Linked DNA regions of Mus musculus: regions 1, 2 and 3 are each reported to be linked to region 4. The links are microRNA targets in miRTarBase. Many come from high-throughput screens and were not tested one by one. Region 4 holds a microRNA gene; each other region holds the end of a gene's coding sequence.
Evidence for each region. Region 4 holds the annotated microRNA mmu-miR-223-3p (UGUCAGUUUGUCAAAUACCCCA, at 1,368-1,389, opposite strand). A microRNA usually pairs through its seed, bases 2 to 8, with sites in the 3' UTR of a target mRNA and lowers its output. Matches are read on the target gene's strand: a 7mer-m8 pairs with bases 2 to 8, a 7mer-A1 pairs with bases 2 to 7 and ends in A, and an 8mer does both.

Region 1 (3,147 bases), not on the chromosome of region 4:
TATAGTGATGAGCCAGACAACCCGCAAGAATAAACGGAGAACCCTGACAGAAAAAACAAGTCAGGGAGGTAGAACAGTGGAGAAAAGGGAACTCGGTCAAAGATAGGATAATGAGTGTTAGAGACTTCTGTGGACAAAGCAAGGCTAAGGTGATGTCCTGGAGGCTGATGGCCCCGTTTTGAATCCGCCAACCTGGGGACTGAGGCTGAGTACCTACCCAGAAGACAAGTGTATCTGCCAGGAGGAGGAGCATCTGGACTTTTGGCATGCTGTAAAGTGTTAGTATAGGCTTAACCAACAACAAAGTCTCAGTATGACAGCTGACAGCCTTTTAAAGAGCCCCTTTCTTTATGCCAGAAGACAAAACATGAACTGCAGTCTACAGTTTGCATTGTCCAGTCAAGTTTCTTGCCCCTGGATCAGAGACCTAAATACACATCAGGACTTCTAAACTCACATGAACTTTACAAACTGTTTGGAAAAAGCGCATTAGGACATTCAGATCTGTATAATCTACCTACCTATTTTGTTTTTCATCTTTAGGAAAAAAGGGGTGTTGGAAACATTCTCTGGAACAGAAACCAACAAGATCTGGCCCCACGTATACTCCTTCCTACAGACGAAAGTTCCAGAAACTACCCAAAAGGCCTCTGTTACTCCCTGAAGAGGGCAGCAACTGGCAGGATGAGGCAGGGCCTCCTCTCCTCTTCTTGCCTCTGTATCTCAAAGCTCTTTTCCTAAGACTTCTCTAAAAATTATGATTTATTCCTAATGGCTAAGCCAAATGAGTCAGATACTTAGCCTGATCTGTTAAAATAGCCTCACATGTTTAATCTAGGACCTGGTTGTCTTCTGTGGACGTGCAATTGGAAAACGTCAGAGATGTTGAAACAAACTAACTCGGAGAGCAACTGGTGACCATCTAACCTTCTGTTCAGTTAGTCAAAGTGGTTGATCACATTTTCATGTTTTTCTGGAAAAGTTCAAAAAAAATTTACCATTCAAGGCAGATAAATAATCTCATTCGAGGCTTTTCAATAAGCCAATGCCCACTGCAATTCAGGAAGATGTTTTCTGGCCTGAAGGGATGTGGTATTAGAAGACACTGTCTATAGATTTCAGAAAGCAAGCAACAGGCTTTACAGATGTTAAATGTAAACTCACTGCTACCTTAACAGGAAAAGCCAAGGGAACAGGCCACCATGCTGTGTGTCCTCTACTTATCCAATCTGCTGTGAAAATGCAGCCACTGGCACGTAGGGACGTGTGACTTGGATATGGACCAAGGTGTATGACTTAGGTTCTGACTGAAGTTCTAGGAGCAGCACTGGCACTGACAATGGCATTAAGTCCTAAGTTCTCCCGTGTCACTCAGGGTGAGGACCAAGTTTTAGGACCTACCCGTTTGTTTCCCTCTTTGATCCAAGCGGACTGCCTGCCTTGATGAGCAAGACAGTAAACAGAAAACTAAAGGGTGACACCACACCCATGGGAATTTGCCACTCTGCAAGTAGACGGGACATGCTGGGGACAGCCCCCCAGCAGAAAGACTGACTAATTCCACTACACAACAGGTGTAGTAATAGGATTTTGCATGGTGGGTTCAAAAGCACTGTAAGGGAGTTCCCTTAAGAACATTATACCTGTGTTGAAGTTCTAAATTAAAGATCCTCTTGTCTCGGCCTCTCTCAAGTGCTGGGATCACTGTGTGCTACCACTTCCCACCCTAATTTAAAGGGAAGCAATTCTTCTGGTACCATCTAAGCAGCCTCCTCTTCTACTTACAGCAGTGGGATCCAACCAGCCTGAGTGCTGGGCAGGCATCCTATACTGTGGTTTATCTTCAGCCCCTTCTGTTGCTGATGCTGGTGGTGGTGGCTCAGTTCTGTTGCTCTGACAGGATCTCACTGTAGTTGACTGCCCTGAACTCTGTAGTCAGGCTGGCTTCAAACTCAGAGCCATCACCTGTTTCTGCCTCCCAAGTGCTGAAGTTAAAGGTGCGCACCACCACCACACTCAGGCTGGCTTTGGATTATTATATAGTCCAAACTGGCCTCACATTCAATCCTCTTGGTTTAGTCTCCTGAGTGCTTAAATTACAGGTGTGTACCACTAAACCAACCCTAAGAATCCATTTTAAAATGTCAGTCACTTTAGATTTCTTAGTGGGGCAAGGACCTGCCCTTACATATTGTGGCCTGAAGGGACAAAATATGAGAAGTTCAATGAAAAGATAATTCCCCCTTTCAGGAAAGATGTTCTCTTATTTTACTTGGTGCTAAATCAAAGAATCAAGCCTTTGTTCAAGCCTTTGCAATTTTGGCCTATTTTATTTCAGAGAGCAAATGGTTGTTATATATTTGGGAGTGGGAAGGAATCTTTGATTTTTAAATTTCACTGTTGATCTTTCAAATAGACTAGGCCTTAGGATTACAATGAACAACTTTGTCCTTTGTCAACGTTTCTCTACTGCCTTATTTGGATGTTGATAACCACTTCCTACAACCTGTTGTGAATTACCTAAAGCTAGGACTGATCTGCAGGTGATCTCAGCACTGTGGCTGTTGCCCTTTGCCCCTGGCCCTTCACAAACCCCCATCCTGTCTGCTGCCACAATGTCTCACAGGCTTCTTTCTAATAAATGGTCTTCAAACAGTACCCGGGCTGTCTCCATGTTGATCTCCGGCTTTAGAAAGAGGCAACAGACCTTTCAGACACTGTTACAAGACATGGAGGTTAAAGAGGGTTAGAGAACATGAAGTGACACACTGTTCCCCTGTGACCAGATCAACCAAGATTTTCCATTTGGGAAACTTGTATGGCTTCTATTAAAACAAACAAAAGGAGCTTCTCTTCTGCTGCCGGATAGGCTTATGTCAGACACTGATTAAGATCCTTGTTGGGGCTGGAGAGGTGGGTCAGCAAGAAGAGCATTGGCTTCTCTACCAGAGGACCTGGGTTTGATTCCCAGCATCCACACGGCAGCTCAGAACTATCTGTAGCTCTAGTTCCAGGGAACCCAATGTGTTTGGCCTCTATGGCACCAGGCACAGACACACATGCAGGCAAAACACCCGTGCACACACAACATTTAAAAGAAAAAAAAGGATCATTATTGCATACATTCTGCTAAGCAGCAAAATGCTG
Region 2 (3,147 bases), not on the chromosome of region 4:
GGCCATCTCTCTAGCCTGAGAGCGTTTAAACACGGTGTATCTCCCGTATATCTCCGGGCTGGGGTTATCTTGGTGGCCGAATGCTGGCCTAGCATGAGCAAGACACTGGGTTCAATCCCTAGCAGCACACACACACACTCACCCCACACAACTGTATTTGATTCCGAGTGTTGTGAGATTGTTTGGAGATGAGCTTAGCCTGGCTCCCCCCTCTCCCCACAGGCATCCCGACGCTGTGGCACCATGAGCTCCCTGTCAGGCGCAGACGACACCGTGTACATGGAGTACCACTCCTCCCGAAGCAAGGCCTCCAGCAAGCACGTGCACCCGCTTTTCAAACGCTTCAGGAAGTGACGCCCACCCTGTGCTCAGGTGAAGACTGGCTGCCTGGATCCGTGTTGAAGAGAGACTTCTTTCTTCACCGGTGTGATCGTTTCTATCCAAGACTGTGTCCTTTCCTATTGACTGACTGCTGAAAACCAGTCAGTGTGAGGCCTTAACTGCCTTCGTGGGTCCTAGGTTTAAAAAGGAAAGAAAAGCTACTGTTGTTTTTTATTCAAACTTGTTAAGAGTGAATCATTTCTGTATATAAAAATTATACCACTTAATTATACCACATTTGTCTCTATTTTATTGAATGAATTAAACAATGGAATTTGGGGAGCTCTAGAGCTTCAAGTAGAGAAGTAGGCACATGGTTCCACCCTCACGAGAGTCAGCCTGCAGATGAGGAGCACTTGCAAATGAAAATGTAGTTTTCTCCAAGGGAGGCTCACTGCGGAAGCAGGCTGCCCTTAAGGGGAGCCCCGTGCCCAGCAGGAGTTGCACACAGGGAACAAACTGTGTCAGGCCTGGCTCTTCCCTCCTTTTTAAAATTTTATCTTCCTATATATTTTTTAATTTCTATTTTTTCTCACTTTTTACCCTATGTGTCCTCTGTGTATATAACGTGGCTTTCTGTTCGCTCTTTCTCTTATGTTTGTTTTGCTTCTATTTTATTATTTAAAAATGGAATTTGGGCTCTGTATTACTAAATTAGCTTCCTTTGAAATGTTCCCAACCCGGGAGGTTTTAGTACTTTACCGTGAGAGGCTGAGAACTGGGTGGTCGGTCGCCCAGTCCATGAGGCTTGCTGCTTTAGCAGTCCCAGTCTGGATTTAAATACGGAAAGGTCCTGGAGACTGCTGCCTCTTAGGGATGGAAGCCCAGAGAAGAGATGCTTAAGATAGCAGCCAAGAGATCACAGCCACAGGGTGAAGAAGGCTGGCTGCAGGAGGGAAGGTCAAGGCAGCGAAAGGTGAGTGATCCTCTCTACCGCCAGCCACCGCCTCTGAGAGCCAGGCCTATGGCAGGTGTCACACATGGAGTGACTGTTGAGGCAGTCGTCTGCAGTTCTCTACACAGGTGAGGCAAGTTGACGCTAAAACCAACCACTGCATGCTTGGGATTGATGGAAGATCACCTGGGAGACATACCTACGGACCTGACTATGCAGGTGTTTCTAGTTAGGAGAACTGAGGTAGGAAGTCTCAACCAAGGCATGGCACCGTCGTCTGGGCTAGAAGACAAAGGAAGAAAGCTGGGGACCAGTATTCCTGGACCCTGGCAGGGGTGGGGTGGGGTTGGGGCAACGTGAACAGCCACCTTCGCCTCCCAGTCCTGCCACCATGACTGGCTGCACCCTTAAGCTGGCAGTCGAAGTAAAGCCCCCCCCCTTTTTTTTTATTAAGTATTTTGTCACAGCAATGAGGAAAAACAACTAGCATAGTCCCTGAAACCCGAGGCCTGTGCTTGCTGCTGTTCCTGCCCTGTGCCTCTCCTGTTCAGCGCTGCCAAATGTGAGGGCCACAAAAGCTGCCAGGCGCCAGGCAGGATTGTGTCATTTCTACCCCGAGGTGTGTAAATGTGCTTGTGTGGGTGTGTGCACATACGCACAAGTCAGAAGTTGATGTCACATGTCTTTCCTCAGTCACTCTCCACTTCTATTTTTTGGAGACAGGATCTCTCACTGAACCTGAAACCTAGTGAGCTCCTAAGCTGGAAAGCCCCAGGGATTCACCTGCCTCTGCCCTGCACCCAGTCCTGGGGTGATCAGTGCACGGCCACGCCCAGCTTTATTATAACTTCTGAGGCTCAAGCAGGTCATCCTACTGTGTAGCAGTTGCTGTCTGCTGAGCCAGCTGCTTTCTCTTGTCGCTGCAATCAGGTTCTCTAAGAAGTGTTGCCTAACTTGAATTCACGGCCTTCAGGTTTAGGAGGCTTCTAGTCTTATGTATTACATTTGATCTTTTGATCCACGATGAGTTCGGTTTTGTTTGTTTTCAGTGCTGGGCATTGAACCCAAGGCACTGGACATGTTAGGTAAGTGCTGTACCATTGGGCCACATCCCCAGATCCAGATCTTGAGTTAATTATTGTAATGGATGGAGTAAGCTTGTATTTTATTCTTACGTGTGGATATCCAACCGTCCCACTTATGTGGGGTATTCTTCATTTAAATTGTATTGGTTCTTTTATTCGAAAAAGGAGTTGATGTGGCTCTCCAGGTTTATTTCTGGACTCTTGATCCTCTTCCACTGATAGAGATGGCTGTTTATATATTAGTACTGTACAGTTTGATAATTGAAGTGTCCTGGGTTTTTTGTTTTGCTTTACCAATTTTTTAAAAATATTTTTATTAGGTATTTTCCTCATTTACAGTTCCAATGCTATCCCAAAAGTCCCCCCATACCCTCCCCCCGACTCCCCTCCCTACCCACTCCCACTTTTTGGCCCTGGTGTTCCCCTGTACTGGGGCATATACAGTTTGCGTGTCCAATGGGCCTCTCTTTCCAGTGATGGCCGACTAGGCCATCTTTTGATACATATGCAGCTAGAGTCAAGAGCTCCGGGGTACTGGTTAGTTCATAATGTTGTTCCACCTATAGGGTTGCAGATCCCTTTAGCTCTTTGGGTACTTTCTCTTGCTCCTCCATTGGGGGCCCTGTGATCCATCCAATAGCTGACTGTGAGTATCCACTTCTGTGTTTGCTAGGCCCCGGGTTTTACCAATTTTTACCAATGTGATGTAAATTAAAGTCACTTGGGAAGAGGAATCCTCAACTGAAGAAATGCCTTCAGATTGGGCATGTCTGTGAGGGGTTGTCT
Region 3 (3,147 bases), not on the chromosome of region 4:
GGTGTCCTGACAGATCTCTTTGTCAGGGGTGTACTGTGCTTCTTCACGCACCCCCTTCAAAACTTGCTGTAGCACTCCCAAATACCACCCCTCCCCCCTTTCCCCTCTGAGCTGGGTAGGTGTGAGGGCATCAGCCAGGCCTCCTGCCGCTGACCCATGGACCACCACTCAGGTTCAACAAGCTGGCTGTGGGCTCCGTGGTGGAAAGCGCCTTCCGGAGGCTGAAACACCTGCAGGTCTTGGACATTGAAGGCAACTTTGAGTTTGGTAATGGTTCCAAGGACAAAGATGAGGAAGAGGAAGAAGAGGAGGAAGAGGAAGATGAGGAAGAGGAAACTAGATAGGACAAAGTGACATGGATGAAACCCAGGTGGGTGGTCTGTGCGGGTGTGAAGGCACCTCTCACCACTCCCTGCTGTCCCTGACCTGCCTTGGCTTTCTGTGTGTCAACTTCACCCTGTCTCTGTTCTATCCCTTCATTTTGAAAACCTGTCATTTCGTTTGCATGCAGGATTGCACCATGTGAGGTGTGTGTGTGTGTGTGTGTGTGTTTGTATGTGTATGTATGTGTGTATATGTGTATGTGTGTTTGTATGTGTGTGTATGTGTGTATATGTGTGTATGTATGCGTAGGTGTATGTATCTATGTGTACATGTATGTGTGTATGCGTGTATGTGTGTGTGTATGTGTGTGTATGTGTGTGTGTGTGTGTGTGTGTGTGTGTGTGTATGTGTGTGTGTCTGCTTGCCCACAGAAGCCAGTTTGTGCTAAGGCATTTACTCTAGCTCAGGGAGATGAGTACTGTGCTGGGAGATACTCTGGGGTACAGAGACTCCTAAGTCTGGGGCTCAGAGGAAAGGCCTGGGCTGGAGATGGGAATCTCATCACTGTAGGCCTTGAGATAGGGCTAGATACTGAGGGGCTAGAAGAGCTTGTCTAGGGCAGGGAGGGAGGGGACAGCCATAGGTAGTTAATACATACACATACATGTAACACAAGCATCTACACATGTGTACATATATACATACTTTAGTCCAAGACACAATCATAGGCCCATATCTGTGTGCACACATGTGCCTATGGATATATGCATGGAGGTGTGTCTGGGTACCTATTCACACAGGCTTACATATGACCACACTCACACACACACTTAATACATTCATGGACTTCTCTAGATGTAGGGGGTAGGGGACTAAAACTGCTTCAGTACTCAGAGTCTGGAGGTGGGTACTGCTGTCCATAACTGAATGTGTCTACATGGAATGCTTGTGACGTCATAGGGAGCAACTGAGGGAGAGGTGGGGGTGGAGAGGATGACTGGGAAGGCAGGGAGTGCAGTAGCCAAGGGGAGGCCACGTAAAACTCAGGTAAAACTGTTTGGCACTCCTTTTGGCACTGGTGGCAAGGATGCTCATGGGATATGCTGTGGAGGGAGGGTAGTGCATTGAGCAGCATGGGTATGAGGGCTGCTGGAAGGATTGCAGGAGGTTGGTAACTGTCCCAGTGTGGAAGGAGGGCCAGGGAACTGAGTGGCTGCCGTCACAGTCAGGCTTGATGGTTGGGTCCCAAATCCCATCAGCCCGAGGACCTTGGCTTTCTATCCATGGCACAGAATTGGATTCCTTATGGCTGGCTTTTTGTTCAGGTTGTGGCACTAGGCTTGGTAAGAAGGAGGGGCAGATGGACATATTGGTAGCAGAGGCATGGGGAGGAAGCTGAAACCTGGGAGGTGATAGCAAGTGTCCAGGCAGAGAGCAGTGATCGGAAGGGCTAAGGTTAGGTAGGACTTCAGGGAATGTGCTGGGAACTATGAGGCCAGGGTGTGGCCATGGCCACAGTGAGGATATTGACTTGAAGTAGAACATGGAACAGAGGGGAGCTGGTAGTGGGGGGAGGGGGGTTGTTGATATATAGTGACAGCTATGTGGACGGATGATGGAGACAGGGTGTCCACTCATGAGAGCAGGATTTGTGACAGGGCTGTGAGCCTGGAGGGGCAAACCTGACTCCAAGGCCAGCCGTCGAGGTAGAGTCTCTGTCCTGAGGCACAGTCCTTAAAAGCCAGGGGTCGGCAGGAAAGGGTGATTGCTATCGCATGAGGACTGCTGGTTCTCATGAAAAGGACTGTGGAGTTCTGGGGTGAGGGAGAAGCTTCCCGCTTTGTGGAATGTTGGCCATGGTTAAGTCAACTGAATGGACTGCTGGAAGAAGCCCCAGGGAGCTCTGGATTCAGAGCTGGGAACCTCCTGGTTCTACACTCCCAGGGGCTCCTCCTTCTTCCCACTCACAGCAGCCTGGCTTCTGACACCCCCTTACTTTGATCCACTTCACCAATGGCTGGTTGTAGCTAGTCCTGACTCTCCAACATGTTCCACAGGACGATGGACTACCGGACTCCTTTCTGCAGCCCAGGCCTGTGCCCCATGAGCGCCCCCTTCTGACACACCCAACGCTGAGCCCAAGAGGCACCCGAAAGTCACACGGGCTGAACACAGTCTCGTGTCCCACCCCTTCCAGCAATGTGTCACACAGTCAGACACGTGCAGATACCACTTCACCACCACGCCCCCAGTTTGGCCACGTAGATAGCCAGCTGCATATGACCTTCCAAACTGGCTCTCTGCACAATCTCACACTGACACACACACACACACACACACACACACACACACACACACACACACACACACACCCTCACCTCTGAGTCCACACTGGCCTGGTAGACTCAGGCAGCTACCCTCTCCCCTATTCACTTACACAGAGTGACCTATGCTACCAAAAGCTCTTGCTTCCAGACAGCTCTGGTTGGAAACAGTTGGCCATGTGCCTTGTCCTCTGGTCCCTCCCTTGGAGACGCAGGGTTGTCTCCTTGCTCTGTGGCCGGGTGCTTTTCACTCTTTGAGACGCAAAAGCTGGCTTTTGTTTTGTGCCTTCCCTATGGGGACTTGAACCTTCTGCCTTCGACCACAGCCTCACCTCCTCCCCCCAGGTGCTGGGCACTCCTACTGCTGGGAGTCCCTTTTTGTTGTGCCCTGGCAGGTCACAGGCACTTTCAGAGAACAGCCTCAAGAAGGCTTGGAAGAGAAAGAGGCAGCAGTGCGTGGTGGGGGTGGGGTGGGGTGGTGGCAGCTGCGTTGGTCTTC
Region 4 (3,147 bases):
CTGCAGACATCTTCTGAAGATGGTCTTTGTCCCTAAACAATGGTATTTTTCCATGCAGGGTAAGCCAGTAAGTCATCCCTAGATAGAGATGCATCCCTCCGACAATTCTGAGCAAAATTGGGGTAACAATATGGGTCTTGTTATTTAGGTCACTGGTTAGTGGGTGAAAAGTTAAAGAATGAAAGTAGGTATCTCCAGAACCAAGGGAGAGTATGGAATTTCTCCAGAACCAAGGGAGAGTATGGAATTTCTCTAAAGAAGCTTGCCAAAATATATGTTATGAAATGTTAGACTCTGGAGAGAGGGATTGGAGATGCTTCATTTTATAGTTCTATATTAGAAGTTCACCCCAGTGCAATGATAGAATATTAAAGGCTCAGAAAATTCTGTTTAAAAAGACACGTGTAAACCAATAATTCAAAAAATTTTTCCCTCTGAGTCTATTCTTTCTTCTTGCCCTCCTGCCCCAGACCTAAATCTTATTTCTCAGAGGAAAAAAAAATCCATTTTGGTTACCATCTTGTATACACTATAGCATTAGAATACCCACAGTTTGATTTATTTTTTTCGCAAAACCCTGGTTGGTATTTGACCTATATAGCAAAAGGTTATTGACTAGTAAAACATCAATTAATTGGTAAATATTTATTAATAATTAAAATGTTGGACAATGGTATGAGAGACAGCAATCAACTGAATATAATAAGCTCTAGATTCTTACAATATAATAGGGAATTCAAGAACATACCCTGGAAAAATTCACTGACAACTTTAGAAGATGTGTTGGATGGTAGGACATATAATAGCACATACCAGTATGTGGTTAGCCAAGGAGTAAAGAAAAGTATAGGTTAACTTTCAATAGTGCCAAGAGGAATTGGAATTTGGTAGTGTCTGAAAGCCCAATGAAGATAAACAAGAAGGTTCTTTTAAGAATGATAAAAGCAAAGTGGAAAAGAGAAAATGTAGGTAGCTTAAGATGTGCTCCGAAGGCCAGACAGTGGATATTTATTTCCTACTTTCTCATAGAATTCATGATGCTTGTATGAAAATTCTGCTATTCTGGCTGCAAGAAGAGGAAAGTGAAAGAAGACATTAATAATAAATCAAATAATACTCTCATTCCCTGTATCCCTCATGTACCACTATGCAGTCCATGGCATTTTCACAATGTACACAGATGCATACCAGACTTGTAGACCCCAGAGCTGCATCGTTCCTACTCTGATGTTCTCTGAATAAATGTTATAGTTCCCTTAAAGACATAGAATAACACCAGAGAGCTTCATGTTTCATAAGCATTCATATGTAGGCAGCAGGCTATGTGCTCTGTCCTGGACCTGGAGCTGATAGGCATGAGCCACACTTGGGGTATTTGACAAACTGACACTCTACCACACAGAGTGTCCAACTCAGCTTGTCAAATACACGGAGCGTGACACTGCAGATGGCCAGATCAGGAACCTCCACTGGGCAGCAAGAACATGCTGGAAGATGTGCAACTGGAAAGAGAAAAAAATAGGGTGATTATATCTTACCCTAAGTGTGAGACAAATGGCAGACACTAACATGACTGACTAAGACACACCAAAAGAGGGAAGTGAACAAAACACGCTAATGCTCCAAACAAAAACGGGGATCCTGGGTGTTTGTCTGGAGATTCTGGTGGCCCAAGCCTCAATTAACTCTTCTATTCAGCTGAAACAGGAAAAAATTGTCATCATTCTGTCCTCGGGGACAATTTATGTGTTCCTTCCTCCTATCAACTTCTTGTATGCTCTGTTTACCCTGGTTATGTACCTAGATGTTGATTTTTAAAACTGGATTTGAATTCTACCTCTACCATTAACTAGCTGAACACCTTAAATAAATGAGTTTATGTCCCTGAAACCTACTTCTTCCATAGCCACAAAAATGCCCATGAAATCATGGCAAGAATATGTAATAATGCATATAAAGCCATTAATTTAGTGTTTGTTACCTAACAAATACTCAAAAATTGTGGCTATAGCCAGGTATGATAGTACATGTGTGCATACAAGCTTTCATAGACAGAGATAGGAGAACCTCAGATTTAAAGTCAATTTGGGCTATATAATACTACCCTTTCTCAAACAAAAAAGTAAACAATCAAGATCTAGAGATAAAACTCAGTAGCAGAACACTTACCTAACTTGTACAATACTCTGTATTTGATCCCCTGTACATAAATAAAAGTGACTAAAATGTGCTTTAAAATTAAACATATAAGATAGATACTAACAGGGGAAAAGATAGATAATTTATTTAACAGAATTGAAACAGTAATTTCTTGTGGCCTTAGCCGGCTTTGTCTAACTTGGTTGCCTTTTCTCATAAGCAGTAAAGAATTAATGATATTAAAATGCCCTTATAAGTCATCTAGTTTTACCCATTCAAGATTATAAATGAGAAAATGAAGTCTGATGTTTAGGGAAAGACTTCCAAAAGGTCATAAAACAAGTTGTTTACAGTTTGGGAATTATATCATCCATCAGCTCATTGTGTCCCTTGGCTGTCCACCCCACCACTTTTTCTTGTCTGCTTTTTATATTCCCTTGCAAAAGGGAGAGCAACAGCAACAAAGAGCAAAACAGGCAGTGGATTTTGCAGGGAAGTATTAAGATGTTTGAACTCATAGCTACCAGGGCAGCTGCCAGAAGAGCCAAGCCATCTCAATTTATTTGATATTTTGTTTAGCATCATGATCCTGTTATTCAAAATGCTTGATAGTATCAAATTTTGTCCTACCCAGGTTTAAAGTTTTCTTGGGCATCAATTGTCTTCTCTAGAAATAGAGACAGAAATCTTACATCTCAAGGTCTTGAAAAATGTTGGATGAGACTTCTAGAGCTTTTTAGAAGGGAGCTTAAAGAGACCTTATTTCCAACTCTGGAGCTAGTAAAAGCCAAGGAAAGTGATTAAAAGAGAAAGGAGTAATGGGTTATTGGTTTTGGTTTTCTTGACAGCATCTCTGCTTATCATCTGCTGTAAGGAGAGCTAGACACTTTAGAGATATCCATAGCCTCTCAATTGCCCTATCCGACCTCACATAACCCAAGAACACTGGAAAAGAGCCATGAAAGGGGCTAAAGAGTTCTAGTGCACTGACTTAATAGATTATTATAA

Region 1: miRTarBase lists Ak3 as a target of mmu-miR-223-3p. Seed matches in the 3' UTR shown: 7mer-A1 at 1,333-1,339.
Region 2: the mRNA of Ercc3 is a reported target of mmu-miR-223-3p. The part of its 3' UTR that is shown has no 7-base or 8-base seed match.
Region 3: the mRNA of Podn is a reported target of mmu-miR-223-3p. Seed matches in the 3' UTR shown: 7mer-A1 at 2,639-2,645.

What each region holds. Positions count from the first base shown.
Region 1 is chr19:29,020,343-29,023,489 of GRCm38, reverse strand. Ak3 (adenylate kinase 3) reads left to right here. Exons shown (of 5, transcript NM_021299.2): 5 at 544-2,658. The coding sequence ends at 664. It also overlaps a transcript of Cdc37l1 not described here. Among named protein-coding and RNA genes, the nearest start is that of 1700018L02Rik, 26 kb to the left of the region's middle.
Region 2 is chr18:32,269,536-32,272,682 of GRCm38, forward strand. Ercc3 (excision repair cross-complementing rodent repair deficiency, complementation group 3) reads left to right here. Exons shown (of 15, transcript NM_133658.2): 15 at 223-616. The coding sequence ends at 354. Among named protein-coding and RNA genes, the nearest start is that of Ercc3, 31 kb to the left of the region's middle.
Region 3 is chr4:108,014,930-108,018,076 of GRCm38, reverse strand. Podn (podocan) reads left to right here. Exons shown (of 13, transcript NM_172874.4): 12 at 173-370; 13 at 2,382-3,147. The coding sequence ends at 344. Among named protein-coding and RNA genes, the nearest start is that of Podn, 15 kb to the left of the region's middle.
Region 4 is chrX:96,241,126-96,244,272 of GRCm38, reverse strand. It overlaps Mir223 (microRNA 223), which reads right to left and starts at 1,456; the gene lies at 1,347-1,456. It overlaps F630028O10Rik (RIKEN cDNA F630028O10 gene), which reads right to left. Exons shown (of 3, transcript NR_030718.1): 3 at 631-3,147.